Linked DNA regions of Mytilus edulis. The protein of the gene in region 2 purifies or fractionates together with the protein of the main gene of each other region. This does not show direct contact. Links are inferred from orthologs where the notes say so. Each region holds a gene or a part of one and is shown on either strand. Other genes may lie near its edges.

Region 1 (7,021 bases), on a different chromosome or scaffold from region 2:
TAATAAGAAAAATGAATTAACAAAGCTTGACACGCGTCGTTGATAAATATGTTAAATGGTCCGTGTTAAATGTGATAATCCATGATTAATCGCAATTAACAATTACTAATGTGCTATATACATTTTGAATTAATAAATTAATAGATAAATGCCACACCTCGGTGTTCAATAGAAAACAAATTCTATGTCAAAATTTTAAATATAAAATTACCAAATTGTAAATTTTATAAACATATTGTATTCCGTAACTTAATAAGAAAGATGAATTAACAAAGCTTGACACGCGTCGTTGAAAAATATGTTAAATTTGAAAATCCATGATTAATCGCAATTAACAATTAGTAATGTGCTATATATATACATTTTGAATTAATAAAGCCTGCCACGCCTCGGTGATAAATAGAAAACAAATTCAATGTCAAAATTTAAAATATAAAATTACCAAATTGTAAATTTTATAAACATATTGTGTATTCCGTAACTTAATAAGAATGATGAATTAACAACTTTTAAGCTTGACACGCGTCGTTGATAAATATGTTAAATGGGATAATCCATCACTTATCATAAATCGCAATTAACAATTAATTATGTGCTATAAACATTTTGAATTAACAAAGCCTGACACGCGTAGGTAATAAATAGATTTAACCGATTCAACAGATTAAGAAATTCAGCGCCTTATGTACGAAACAAAAGTTTACAAAAATTGTGCAAAGATGCAATATTTTTTTTAATATTAAAACATAAAATTACCAAATTAAGACGAAGTAAGCCAGATGAATAAGAGTAGGTAGACCCTACTTCTTCTTTCAAACAGGTCAAACAACAGAACGAGGAACAGCTGGATGTTACCAAGAAATCGATGTCTTGTAATGATAACTGTTGACAGTCATAGTGGTACCATGAATTGCAAAAGAGGGACGAAAGATACCAAAGGGACAGTCAAACTCATAAATCTAAAACAAACTGACAACGCCATGGCTAAAAATGAAAAAGACAAACAGAAAAACAATAGTACACATGACACAACATAGAAAACTAAAGAATAAACAACACGAACCCCACCAAAAACTAGGGGTGATCTCAGGTGCTCCGGAAGGGTAAGCAGATCCTGCTCCACATGCGGCACCCGTCGTGTTGCTTATGTGATTACAAATCCGGTAAATAGTCTAATTCGGTAGGTCAAATTCATGAAAGGGAAGGGGATTGTAGTTACGACGTGCGGAACATATCCGATATCATTTGTGAAATGCAAGAGTCACACTGTACTGAGTTCTTGGAGCAGTTCTGTCTGCAGTCACCACAGGGCCAGAAAATCGACCTTTTTAGGTACGAGATTTTGCGTTTTGGCATTTTGACTTTACTGATTAACTTTGAAACTTTATAATAGATTTAGAAAGATTTTTGGAAATTATTTCTTGTTCTATCAATATATACCCTTTGATCAATATCTTTCAATTTTGGAGCCAATCGAAAAGTGGACCAATGATATTAACAGGAAATAAAATATTGTCCAATTATTTTTATCGGAAGTAAAAGATGATCCAATAACATTTACAGGAAGAAATTGTGATTCCAGTACTTTATGGTTTCACGTTTCCATTGTCTAACCCAAGATTTGAGACGTCGCTAACAGAACAAAAATGTGAAATGACTTCATTGGGGACATTGCTAAAAAAACAAAAAGTTATGTAGGACTTCTTTTAAATTTCCATTTCTTTTGACAGCGTGGTTGAATTATAGAAGCCATCCGTTCTTTTCAATTTTTGACAACCTCATTAGTGGGGTTGTGTTTGTTAAATTACTCTTAATAATGACCATAATATAGACTTTTGTTTTACTAGTATTATTCAAAACAAAAATGAATTATAAAATTATATAAGTATGTAAAAAACATGACCCATTCAAAAGATATTGCATGATAATTGATTAAAATCGTACTACAGGAACTTTATGCATTTCAAATAAAATTTAAATATATATATAATAATAAATCAGTCAAAGTCCTCGATCTCTTTCCGTCGGTTAGATTTTGATATTTGTCTCTTGTCTTATTTTTGGTATAACTATTTTATATAAGAAGAAGAAAGAAATGAATAAAATATATATGAGGTATTGATGACGGTGGTTTGCGAAGTTGTCATGTTATAGACTTTCCTTTCCTGTTCGGCGTGTTCAATGTAGATATATTTGATATTTTAAACTTTAATTTAATATGATTTGTTGCATTAATAACTGAAATAATATATATTAAGGTCACAATTAATACAATTAAACAAAAAAAAGAAAAAAAAATGCGCTGTTTAGCGATATGTGGTTTGCAATCGGTGATGAAATTTAGATTTACCGTCTAATTAATATTAGTTCATTCATTTTTTTTAAGTTATTTTAATGTTATGTTGTATATTTAAGTTGTTTTGTTGTTTGTTTTTGTGTTCTGTGGTATATTTTTAGTGTTCTGTGGTATATTTTTAGTGTTCTGTGGTATTCTGTGGTATTCTGTGGTGTTCTGTGGTAAAAAGACGCTCCGTCGTATTCGTAGCTAGCAGAATGAGCATAATTGTTTAATAATAATATATCATTTTTTTAATATCAAATAGCTACTAGCTTTTCGTCGGTTCTCTTCCACAGGTTAGACCTGCCGTATAGTACTATATTATATTCTGAACGTTTATATTATTGTCATTATGGCAAACGTGTGTTGCGTAATTTGTTTTCGTCTGAAATGACCTTCATACGCAGTCATGCTTACCTTAAAAAATTACGACTTTCTAATAGATTATCAAATATTTGAACACAATGCATAAGTTTGAACTACATACCATGACAATTGGTGCTCTGGTTGGCAACATTCGTGTTCTAGTTACTGCTCGGACCGTGGCTCCCACGGCTCGAGAGGCCATTTTCTTTGTTTACGCCGGCTGGTTTTCCTTTGACACAATAATTTCTAAAATCCCTTACGTCTATCATATTTTAAGGTACCAGTCTTATTTTGAGATATAACTGAAGTTCATAAAAGATTCAAATAAGTAAGGATTAGAACGGTCGGAAAACATAACTATTTCACTTTAATAATAATACTTAATATTTTATTCTATAAAATATCAAGCACATGAATTATTACAATACTAAATATATACGATATTTTCCTACATACCTTTATATGTGCACTCGTCTCAGAAAAGATTTTCCTATATACCTTTATACAACGGTATATAGGGAAAAACATTCGGATACGAGTGACTGTGTCCTTAATCCTGTTTTTTATGATAAAATGTTTACAGTATAATATCCATTGTATTTTAGAATATAGTACAAATATCTTAAAATAAGGCACACAATATTTTTTTAAATTCAATCATGATATAATTTTTTTTTATCATACTGAGTAAAATCAGATATCATATCAAGATGAAAGGAAAGAGATGTTTTAGATTTTAAGCATTGACTATTGTTTTGATATTTTAACAAGTTGCCAAATTCAAATTCATCTAATATGTAAACCCAAGCTGCTTTTTTAACATCATAAACTGCCTATGCAAATTATACCCATATAATCATCTATTATTTTTATAATTTTATTGACATGCATAAGATACACACATCATCGTCACATGTATTTCCAATGAGGTCCCTTCTTACTGGTCCAGTTATTCATAGGGACCCAAGACACTCCAAATCGTTTGAAACAAAGTCTCTAACGTTACAGTCTACTTCTACTGGAAAATATCATGTTCCCCAATTCTTCTCTTGGACGTCTGTTACCAATTCCTGGTACTTCGTAAGCTTTCTCTCATGGGATTCTTCCAGTCTTGTTCCCCGTGACACTTCTCTACCAGAATGAATAACCTGTCTGTTGATTCTGGACCACAGCACATGCTGGTCAGAGTGTTGTTGTTAAAATCTCTCTTGGGAAGGTGGCCTTTCCCCAACGTCAGATTGCATCTCCCAGTCATTTGCTGTTGCTAGGATACCATTGGCTTTGCTATACCGTATGTGTTTCTAGATGACTCTCCACCTCTTTTGACGAAGTTGGTGAACTTAAGCCCCTTCTCTATCTAAATCTTCTTCCTCCTCTGTGTGTCCTGAGTGTATGTCCAAGACTGCTTCTATCTTTCGAAGGACTTGATCATGGCGCCATGTATATCTACCATCCTTCAGAGTTGTCCCACAGGACGAGAAAACATGTTCTAAGTTTGCTCGCTTACCGCGCAACTTAGTTTATTTTCGATCTAGTTTGAATTTCCCTTTGGTAATGTTTGGTATCTTCCGCCCCTCTTTTACAACTAGGATCTTCAATCTGTTTCCACATAGAAAGGTGCGTGGGTGTTAGTAGTACGTCGTATAGTGATCTTAGTAGGAAGCTTATTTATGTTGTGTCTTCTGTACTATCATTTTTCTGTTTGTCTTTTTCTTTCTAGCCATGGCGTTGTCAGTTTATTTTTGATCTAGGAGTTTGAATGTCCCTTTAGTATCATTCGTACCTCTTTTATCATCTGTCCGTCCATTCTCCACATCTCATGCAAACATATCTTTTTGGTCTTCCCATTTCATATGTTGCCCTTTTTGTTTCATACTGACGGCACTTGCCATAATAGTTGCTGAATGTAGCCAACACCAAGTCGTCCTCGCCCGATGTTACCACTCCCACTATGTCTCTGTCACTCTGTGTCTAAATCGGCTCTCTACATCTTCTATAGCACTCTTGGTCACCCATTTCCTTCCTATCCTAACATCAACATTTGCCTCTAAGTCTTTCACCTTGTCATCTTTAATGTATCTTAGCATCATAACTTGTCTGGTTTTGGTGACTTTAATAAACTTCTCTAATAGAAGACAGTGGTAGTTGAAGTTTTGAACTGGTGCTGTACAAACCATTGCTGCTAAAACTCTTTGGAACTCCAAACCATTTGCGTAAGTTGTTGAACATCCTTTCTAAACTTTCAACTTTGGTTAGAGGTACTTCGTACATCAACAGAGGCCATGTGATCCTTGGTAATATTTCATACTTACCCAATATTTTGACTGTTTTCTCCATAAAAGAGGGACGAAAGATACCAAAGGGACAGTCAAACTCATAAATCTAAAACAAACTGACAACGCCATGGCTAAAAATGAAAACGACAAATAAACAACAGCACACATTACACAACATAGAAAACTAAAGAATAAACAACACGAACCCCACCTAAAAACTAAGGGTGATCTCATGTGCTCCGGAAGGGTAAGCAGATCCTGCTCCATATGAGGCACCCGTTATGTTGCTTATGTGTTAACAAATCCGGTAAATAGTCTAATTCGGTAGGTCACAATCATGAAAGGGAAGGGGATTGTAGTTACGACGTAAGGAACATATCCAATATCATTTGTGAAACGGTTATTCCATAACGGTCAACCAACTCGTGATGGCGTCCGTAAAATTTACAAAGGGATGATTTCAACTTCACCATTTGGAACTCTTGGATTAATGGCTTCCTTGTGAACAGCAACCCTCTATCAAGAAAATCATGATAGGAAACGCAAGCACGGGAATATCGTATCAATTGGTAGGTATAAACCCCGTATGCAGGTGCTGCTAGAATGTTGCTACTTAGAAATGGAAAGTTCACAATTGGAAAGCTGAAATCATCTCTTTTGTCGTAAAGTTTTGTTTTCAACCGACCTTCATTGTCAATTTCTAGATGAAAGTCAAGATATGAGGCCGACTTAACTGCATCTGTCGTATCCTTTATCTCTAGTTCGATGGGATAAATACATCCAACATAGCCACCAAATTTGGAATTATTTAGTGAGAGAACATCATCTATATAGCGGAAAGTAGAGTTAAAGGATGTTGCCAACTTCTTATCTTTCTTCCTAAGAAGTTCCTACATGAAGTCAGCCTAATAATAATAAAGAAACAAGTCGGAAAGTAGAGGGGCACAGTTTGTTCCCATTGGAATGCCGACAGTCTGATGAAAAACACGTCCTCCGAACGTAACAAATTTGTTGTCAATCAAGAAATCAAGCATATTGATAATATCAGTTTCAGAGAATTTTTTGTTTGAAGCAGAGTGATTCTTTACAAAGTAGGATTTGTCTCTCCCTAAAACAAGATACTTGTATCAACGATGGCCATTCTTTTTTATGAAGCAAAGCAATACCAACTCTTTCAATTTATCTGTTAGTTTGGAATGTGGAATACTTGCACATGTGTAAAGAGTAGAAAAGTCAAATGTTTTAATACTGTTACAAGATGAAATAGAGTTAGATTGTATGTACTCTAAAAGATCTTTGAAATTTTTAAGTATCCACATTTGATTCACGACCCCTCTAGAATAGGCAGATTCACAATAACTTTGAAGCCCGTCTTTGATTGCTGATAAAATAGATGTTAATAATTTAGAAAGAGGTTTCGTGGAGCACTTGGAAGACCCAGCTATATACCGTGGTTTGTAAGGACACTTATGTAGTTTAGGTATCCAATACAGTGATGGAAGATCCAGTTCTTCATCTTTGGTTGAAATTCCAAAGGAACACAGAACAGACCTATGATTATAGTTGAAATGATGTATCCTCCAATTCGGATCTTTCTGTCCTGTACCGTTTCTTTCTTTAACAATAGACTCCTTGACTTTGAAGGCTTGAAGTTCATGCGTGCCCAGTCTATAAACTCACATAAATCTTACAGTATCCACTTAGCTACCAGAACTGACTTTGCTGTTATTTTATCATGCCATCCATAAATACTCTTGTTGGTGGCCGACTGACCCCAGATGACATTACGGACCCTCTGTTCATCTGATCTGCTGATTCTACTAGTAGATCCATTGCTGCTGCGAATAGAACTATCGATATGGTACATCTTGTAACAATTGCCACTTCTTGTCTCTGCCACGCTGTTGTGTAGTCTGCAACTGTAAGCCTCATTATAAAGTTGTTGAAATAGTATAGTGCTGAAGCATTTGTCTACCCATAGCAGGTACTAGTATGTGGTATTTCTTCAAGGTTAAGTCTACTAGCTTGTGTGGTATACTTC
Region 2 (7,945 bases):
ATAATGTTTTCTAAGCCTGAGAATACACAAATATACAAAAAAAAAAAGACGGTATGCACAAAGAATCATGAGCAACGAAAAAGACTGACAACCTCTTTGCGAAATTTCAAGTCATAATATCCGTATATCAACGGATTAACCACGTGATTTATCACATAAAATCTTTGTAAAATAAAGTAGATTATCATCTCTGTTGTAGAAATATTGTACCAAAGTTTGTGGTTTAATTTACTTATGATTAGAAAAACACAAGTTGGTGTGTAAGAAACGAGATAAAATATAATAATAGTCAAAAACATGCTGTTGAAATTGATTTTGCTTGCGTGCATAGTTTTCTTGCGAGTTATTTCGCCTGTGCTTCCATCGCTTGGTTTGGTTTCCGATATAGATTCAAATTGTGTAGAAGCAATGTCCATGCTTGGTCGTCGTAAATCCTTTAGTTTTATATGTCGATATAGCTGAAGTCCAATAGGGATATAGAGAAATGAAATAGTAAGTATGTTTGCAACCATTAAAAAGAATATAATGTAATAATAAATTGCTTCATAGTCTGGGTATTGCCCAGAGCCAGTAAAACACGTCCATCCGGTAACGTTCAAGCCATTGAATTCTCCTTCGATATATTTGTTTCCAGAAAAGAGTAAAACAGGACACGAATTAACAATAGAAAATATAACGATAACAGCCAGACATATTTTTCGTTTTGCTTCGTCCATTTGTTCTCCTAGCGGCTTACATATTTTCAAATATCTTTGAACAGCAATGGCTATAAGAAGCAATGCCGATAAACTGGAAGTGCTTGTCATTGCAAAAAGAAGACCTTTACAGAGTCCTGTGGATGGAAAATCCACAAAATATATAGATTCCAATACATAAAACACAGATGCAACTGTGCCGGATATTAGATCAAAAACTGCCAAGATCGGAATGAAATAGCGGTCGTCTCGATTTGCTTTCATTCGAAAGAAATATACCATGAGAACAATTATGTTTCCAATAAATCCAAGCAGAAAAATTACACCTTGAAGAAAAACACTCGGAAGTAGTTTGTCGTAATAATCTTGATTCCACTGTAGAGTTAGATTATAATTAGAATCCATGTTCAGAATATTCCAAAGAAAAATCCACAAAATGTTATAAAATACCACTCAGACAGAAAGGAAGGAAATGCCTCATTTCATATAAAATAATGTTGTATAAACTTGGTCATCTGACGTTGGAATTGAAATGTAGGTAGTATTTATAAGTATTGAGTATGTATAAAATGTGAATTTAAATACTTTTCGTCTAAATTGTTAAATCTTGACCATGTAGCGTAAAATTAAAGAAACCTTAGGGTGATTATAACCAGCTACTGCTGTGATTAAAGAGCATTAAATATCATTACTCGACAAAATAACATAATATTCTCATAGTCCTTTCTAGGTTAATAAGCGCAGATAGGTCATTTTGTAGTAATTTGTATTAATAGTTAAGCAGAATGAACTGGCTATCACAAATTGACCTGACATGGAAATCCCTCATAATGAAATTATTACATATATTTATGAGATTTATTAATCCTATATATTTTTCTACCCTGATTAGGTTAAATAGAGATGGTAGATTAAACAGGAAAAGTATGTCCTCTTGACATTTTGGTAAATTAAGATAACTATTGCTACTGTCTATTAGTAAACAGGAAATAATTTACAGCAATGTTAAATTGGAACCAAAGTGCATCTTTAGAAAAAGTATCGGGACAGAAACGAATCAGAACCTATGCGGTATGGGTTTTGTTCAATTTTGAAGGCAGTATGGTGACAATTCTGTCTCTGGTGAAGGAGTTGTCTTATTGTCAATTAAACCACATCTTCTTATCTTTATACTTCATTGTATTTATTGTAACCTTGGCCATCAGATGTGAAAACATGCTTAATTAAACTTTGACTCAATTCAGTCCGTCAGTAGTGGATATCAAATCTTTGGCAGATTTTTGTGTTTGCCTTGTATAGAACTTAATCATTGTTGTTATGGGTATTATAGAGGGTTCCAAGTGTTTCACCTCCATCTTCACGAATTGTCATCAACATTATTCAAACTGTGCACAGTGATTGATCGTTCCACATAGATTGAAAATGTACATACGTAATGAAGGAGCGCTCTGAAAAGTGGAACAGGCAAACTTCTAAAAAGTGACAAGGAAAAAAAAGAGAGTGAAATCCCTTCTATAGTTAAATAGTCAGTCACGTCCCTCTATCATTTTCGGACGCATGAAACTATTAAACGTCTTGTTTTCCATTTTTTACCATGCGGTACGGGCTCCGTTCAAGGTGAGTTGTCACATTGGCAATCATACCACATCTTCTTATTTTTATATATTTATGCATTTTGATTGGTTACAACTATAACAAAGAATAAATTTGTCCACGTAGGATTTTTTGGCACAGGAATATGTTCTTCCAAGAACCCCGATTCAAAACAGGCACAAACACGGTATTGTTCTTGTTTGATATTTTTTGTTCTCGCCCTGTATTTATTTCTGGGCCACTGACTGTTCAGCATACAACAATCAAAATATTATAATAAATAAATATTTAAATCAACACGTACCATTTAGAGCACTTTTTATAATTTTTTTCAGAAATATATATATACTTCAATTCTTTACTAAGTATATATTTTAATTAGAAATTAGAACAGACTTTAACTTTTTTGATGGCGCATTTATTTTAATGATCGAAATGAAAGAGTCTTTACACTTTATAGGACTGGACATCAGAATGAAATATTTTATTAATTTGTATAAGACACGGGCCTGGAGCTATTGAATACCAAGTGTGTATACATCTTTTATCAGAAATTGAATTAATTCACCATGTGATTGTCCATGCAGTAAACGTCTTCATCATTTCCCTCCAGTCATAAGTTGTTTATACTTTATATTTTTATAATACAATGTTTTTAAACCACTATAGCTGTTTGTTCAACTGTTTGTCGCTTCTTATTACTACTATATTATTGAACCTGGTTTTTAGGGGATGAGGAACAGTTTGCTGACTTGTCCTACGACATACACAAAACTAAACCTTGTGGAATTCGGGATTTAGAAGGCATTGTAATTGTGTAAGCACATCGAAAGTACATGTGCATTAGGGTAAATGTATATGTAGAATTTATACTTCTATGAATAAATTATAATCATGAAATCAAGACATAAAGGTATGAAATTCACATAAAAGGGAGTTATTTCGCTTTAAGTTGCAATATATCTTATTGAATTCTTAGACTTAAGAAAAAAACACTTTTAAAAACTTTTCCACAAAAGAGGGTCCCCTTTGCCCCTAACCCCGCCTCTGTATCTGCATCTGTATGGGTTTCGTGTGAGAACCATACGGCATGCAACAATAAAAAAAACTCATATGTTATATTCAACTATAAAAGAATGTTCAGTCTACAGCGGGTCTGATTAACTGAGTAACTGATTTAAAATGGGGTTTTCTTTATTGGTCGGTGCATGGATGCTGGATTTTGGGTTTGTTATCTTTTTTGGTTTATTTGGCTTGTTGGTTTTGAAGGTGACATCACTGGTTATTGAACCTCAAATAATCTGTAGAAAATGTTACTCTCTGTTGTTTCCGTCTGTCTTTTAGTGTTTATCATCAGATCTTTCATTTTTTTGCATCCGCATCACTTGATTGTAGTCATTGTTGATAAATATTGCTGCCTTTCTTCCTTTCTTTCTTTCTTTCTTTCTTTCTTTTTTTCTTTCTTTCTTTCTTTCTTTCTTTCTTTCTTTCTTTCTTTCTAGTTCGTCCTTCTCTTGTAAGCTCAACTTGCCAAATTGATATTTGCAAGCTTTTCCCCATCACATCTGAAACTACTGAGCAAGATTGAACAAACTTGACCACAATCATCCTTATGATATTTCTCTTTAAAAATGTGTCTAATGATTCACGACAACCTGCCAAGGTTATAAAGGGAGATAGGATATAATTGATGTATTGTCTATAAGTTATCTTGTAAACTAATATCGCTTAAGAAAATAAATCCTCGGCATACAGGACACGCATGTTCAGAATGTCAAGATCGGTATAACATTCATTTAGACCAAACTGTCAAGACAACATTTGATAAGGCATTATTGCGCTGAAATGACCATTTTCACCTTCTTTTTTATTTCGAGTTTGACTAGTATCTTCAAAACGATAACAAATAAAGGGGAAATTGTAATCAGGCATAAAAATGATATTTGCATGGCCAAAATCGTCATTTGACCCCCAGGAGAGGTTATATATTTCGCTTAAAAGCAAATTTTTAACCTTTTTTTAAATTTTAACCGAAACTTTAATTAGTAGAATTGAAAGAAACTGCAAAATTGACCAGAATTGTTAGCTGATTTTTTTAAAGGAGTTATTGTCCTTGCTTGATGATGTGTACTCATTTTTAGTATTTTTGTGCATCGCCTTTATCCATGACTGGAACTCTTGTGAATAGCTTTATCAACGGAAATCCTTTCACATCTCTCCTTATTTTTGATAAGCATTTTATCAATTTGATGCAAATTTGACAGGTGAGCTAATCAGGCTTCTTGGAGCCTCTACTTTGTATATGCTCTCATTATCCCTGATTAATCATACTACAGATAAGTATTCGGTTTTTCCCTGCATTTTATGTTACTTTGCACACCAAAACAAAACGGTGAGCCCCGGTAGTATCAGAGACTCTGGTAGTATATACTTTCAGTACACTTTTTTGAATCATCTGTATGAAAACATACTATTAAAAAGCTAACATTACACATCGGACCCTTTAAACATTTTGATTTTACTGGTTAACACAAAACTTAAAGCTTATCCGATTAAAAAAAAATTTAGGATTGAAAGTAAAAAAACGCGAAATAGGATAATAGTAGAGCTTTGCATTCTTATAAATTTGTTATGGTTTTTGAATAAACCATTAAAACAAGCGGTTGTTTGATAAAGATTTAATATGACCAAAAACCAAAAAGAAAAGGTAAATAAATATTATTTGTTGGAAATCATAATTTCAATACCCTTGGTTCTGGTCATCAGACCATTATAGGATTTTATTTGAACAAATATCAACATAAAACATTGCACCAGTAGTATAAAAATGCTTTCTCTTTTTAGTGACAGATAATACCTTTATTCTCAAATTAGAGTCTATCCCTGCTTTCCTGACCTTGAATAATTCATGAATATTCATGAACAATTCATGAATATTCATGAATAATATTCATGAATGTTCATGAATATTCAAGGTAACAGTTCATGAATATTCATGAATATTCATGAATGTTAAATGGCACCTTGAATATACATGAATATTGTTTGAACTGAATAAGCTTGAATATACATGAATATTGTATGAACTGAATAACCAAGAATTAACATGAATAATTATCTATAGAATATTCATGAATATGAAATAGGATGTCTTTGAATAATGCATGATAGAATATTCTAGAATCACCATGAATGAAAAATATATATCTATCCCAATATTGAATGCTAAATACATACTCTAGAATAACCTTGAATGTGAATATTTCATGAATATTGAATGGTTGAATGTTCTAGAATAACCATGAATATTGAATGGATGAATATTCTAGAATAACCTTGAATATTGTCATTTGAATGGTTGAATAATCTAGAATAACCATGAATATTGAATGGTTGAATATTGGAGATTAACCATGAATATTGAAATAAGTGTCCTTGAGAGGTTTTTTGAAAACCAAAAGCAAATACAGACATTTAAGTTTAAAATATTTTTAAATCATGATAGCTGTGAAATATGAATTCGTTGGAAAAATTTGGTTGATCATATAGGGAATCACTGAAGCATGACTGGAGTGCCCCCTCCTTATGAAAAGTTCTGGATCCGCCACTGTATTGATCCAATATCCACCCGTTTGTAGTACATGTATGTATCACATTTTTTTGAAATAGTAAAACACCCATGCAACCATGCATCCCGTATTGCTTGATAAGGTTGGAATTGGGATCCATACTATAAATGGGTGGCTATTGGATCTAAAATTCATGTAGATCAATAAAAGTGACTTTACAGATAAAATTATAAAAATTCATGATTTTAACACAAATTGAAACCTTAAATGTAGACTTTAATGGCCAGGTGGGTAATTCAAACATGTTAAAAGTTAATGATAAGCATACATTGTACATTTGACATGATAATGAGCTAACTTATATCAAAGATCTGTGGGGAAAAAACAAATGAGATCATTCTTATCAGAATGTCATTAAAAAAATCAATGCAAATATTAGTATATTTTGTTTTTTTTCAATATTGGTGCTTTAATTGCCATGCATTATGGATTAAACACATTAATCGTTTATCTGATCATATTCAAATATTTAAATAAATAATAATATTAACATCCTATCCATGAAAAAAATATGGCCTGCATGGTTATGATGACGGAATAAAACCTAAGAATAAAAACATTGACTATGGTCAGCTTAATAAAACCTCACTCAAAAACTGATTTAATAACTATAATATTAAAACTAATGTGTCAGATATAAACTTCTCTTCCTTTCTGTAATTTAAAACTTGCTGTCTCTATACTTCCAACTAGAATTGCTGAATACAGGTGTTAAAATGTTGTCTGCATAAAATCTGTTTCATATAATTGCTGGCAGCTCATATTTAATCCCCTAAAAGTACAAAAATATCCACAAAGAATCAATTGTTCAAGAGGTTATGAAGCAATAAATTCAATAGAAACATTATTGATTTTGCAGATGTATTGTATCTTACATTGGAAGCCTAAACGCAAATTAAGACCCCCCCCCTTTTTTATCCCTTGAAGATTATAGTTTTCACCAAGTTTGTTCACCTAATTTAATTTCTACATTATAAAGTAGAATGTGGTAGTGCATTTTTTTAAAGTTATTGACTCCACATTATTAACCTACAGTTTCTCTTTGTACATGAATGTGACAACACCACATACATTCATTAGGGAGCTACCATTTGATTTTTATGGGGGGGCTAGGATGAAATTTGAAAAAAATAGGCAGGACAGGAATTTTGAGTAAAAAAAAAGGCAGGATGAGACACTTGCAAAAAAAAAAAGTCAGGATGACAATTTAGGTAAAAAAAAGTCAGGATAAACTAAAAAAAAAAAAAGGCAGGACCGAAAAGAGTGAAAAATAAAAAGGCAGGACAGAGATTACAACTAAAAAAAAATGCAGGACACAATTTTTCATCCTAGCCCCCCCATAAAAATCAAATGGTAGCTCCCTTACATTAATTGTCTGTCAAAACTCTCTGGTGTTTTCTGAGATTTTAATCCTAAATGTATTATAATAGTGCCTAAACAAATTGCATTTTATAATTATTATAATTATTATAGGTTAAATTAAAATACTTATCTGAAAACATTTGCGTTGTGATTCTCCATTTTGTTTATCCAGCGTATTTTGATGACGTATGCCAGTCCGTTTCCGTCAATGTGTCAATCTCGCCCCATATATTATCGGCCCGAAGTTGATTCGTCCCCGTAACGGCGTTTCAGTGAAACTTCTCAAAACAGGCCGCCAGTCAGGTCACGCAATTACGGCCGATTTGCAGGGTTTGGTTAGTTGAAATTTAAAATCACGAAGAGTAACTTCCCCTTAATATGGGTGTTTTAGAAATATTTTAAAATGTATTTGTTCTAACTCAAATATACGTTTTTCTTTGTAAATTTTAGTATTGTGAATGAAATCTATCGTAAAATTCAGCTGCAACTAGTATTTCATCTTATTTTTTTAATTTTATTTTGCAGGAATAAAAAATAAAAAATACCATACTTTAATGATTTTCCCCTAATAATTAGGTGAAATGTTCTATTCAATGCTCAGCCATTGCATTTCGCGGTAAATCACTACTTTAGAATTTAGAGATCATAATGACACTAAATTGACAA

The links. The genes of interacting proteins can lie anywhere in the genome.
Region 1: the proteins of AP-4 complex accessory subunit Tepsin-like (region 2) and iron-sulfur cluster assembly 1 homolog, mitochondrial-like purify together in Homo sapiens (co-immunoprecipitation; 3 studies listed by BioGRID and IntAct, with this or other methods). This does not show direct contact. The link is inferred for Mytilus edulis from reciprocal best matches to the Homo sapiens genes TEPSIN and ISCA1.

Annotation. Positions count from the first base shown.
Region 1 is NC_092344.1:5,590,984-5,598,004, reverse strand, and holds the start of iron-sulfur cluster assembly 1 homolog, mitochondrial-like, read right to left. Parts: upstream 3,007-7,021; 5' UTR 2,907-3,006; coding exon 2,826-2,906; intron 1-2,825. UniProt on the Homo sapiens protein: Involved in the maturation of mitochondrial 4Fe-4S proteins functioning late in the iron-sulfur cluster assembly pathway. Probably involved in the binding of an intermediate of Fe/S cluster assembly.
Region 2 is NC_092352.1:20,602,288-20,610,232, forward strand, and holds the start of AP-4 complex accessory subunit Tepsin-like, read left to right. Parts: upstream 1-4,942; 5' UTR 4,943-4,995; intron 4,996-5,046; exon of another isoform or gene 5,047-5,107; intron 5,108-7,945. Other genes in the region: cholecystokinin receptor type A-like, read right to left, coding at 66-1,100. UniProt on the Homo sapiens protein: Associates with the adapter-like complex 4 (AP-4) and may therefore play a role in vesicular trafficking of proteins at the trans-Golgi network.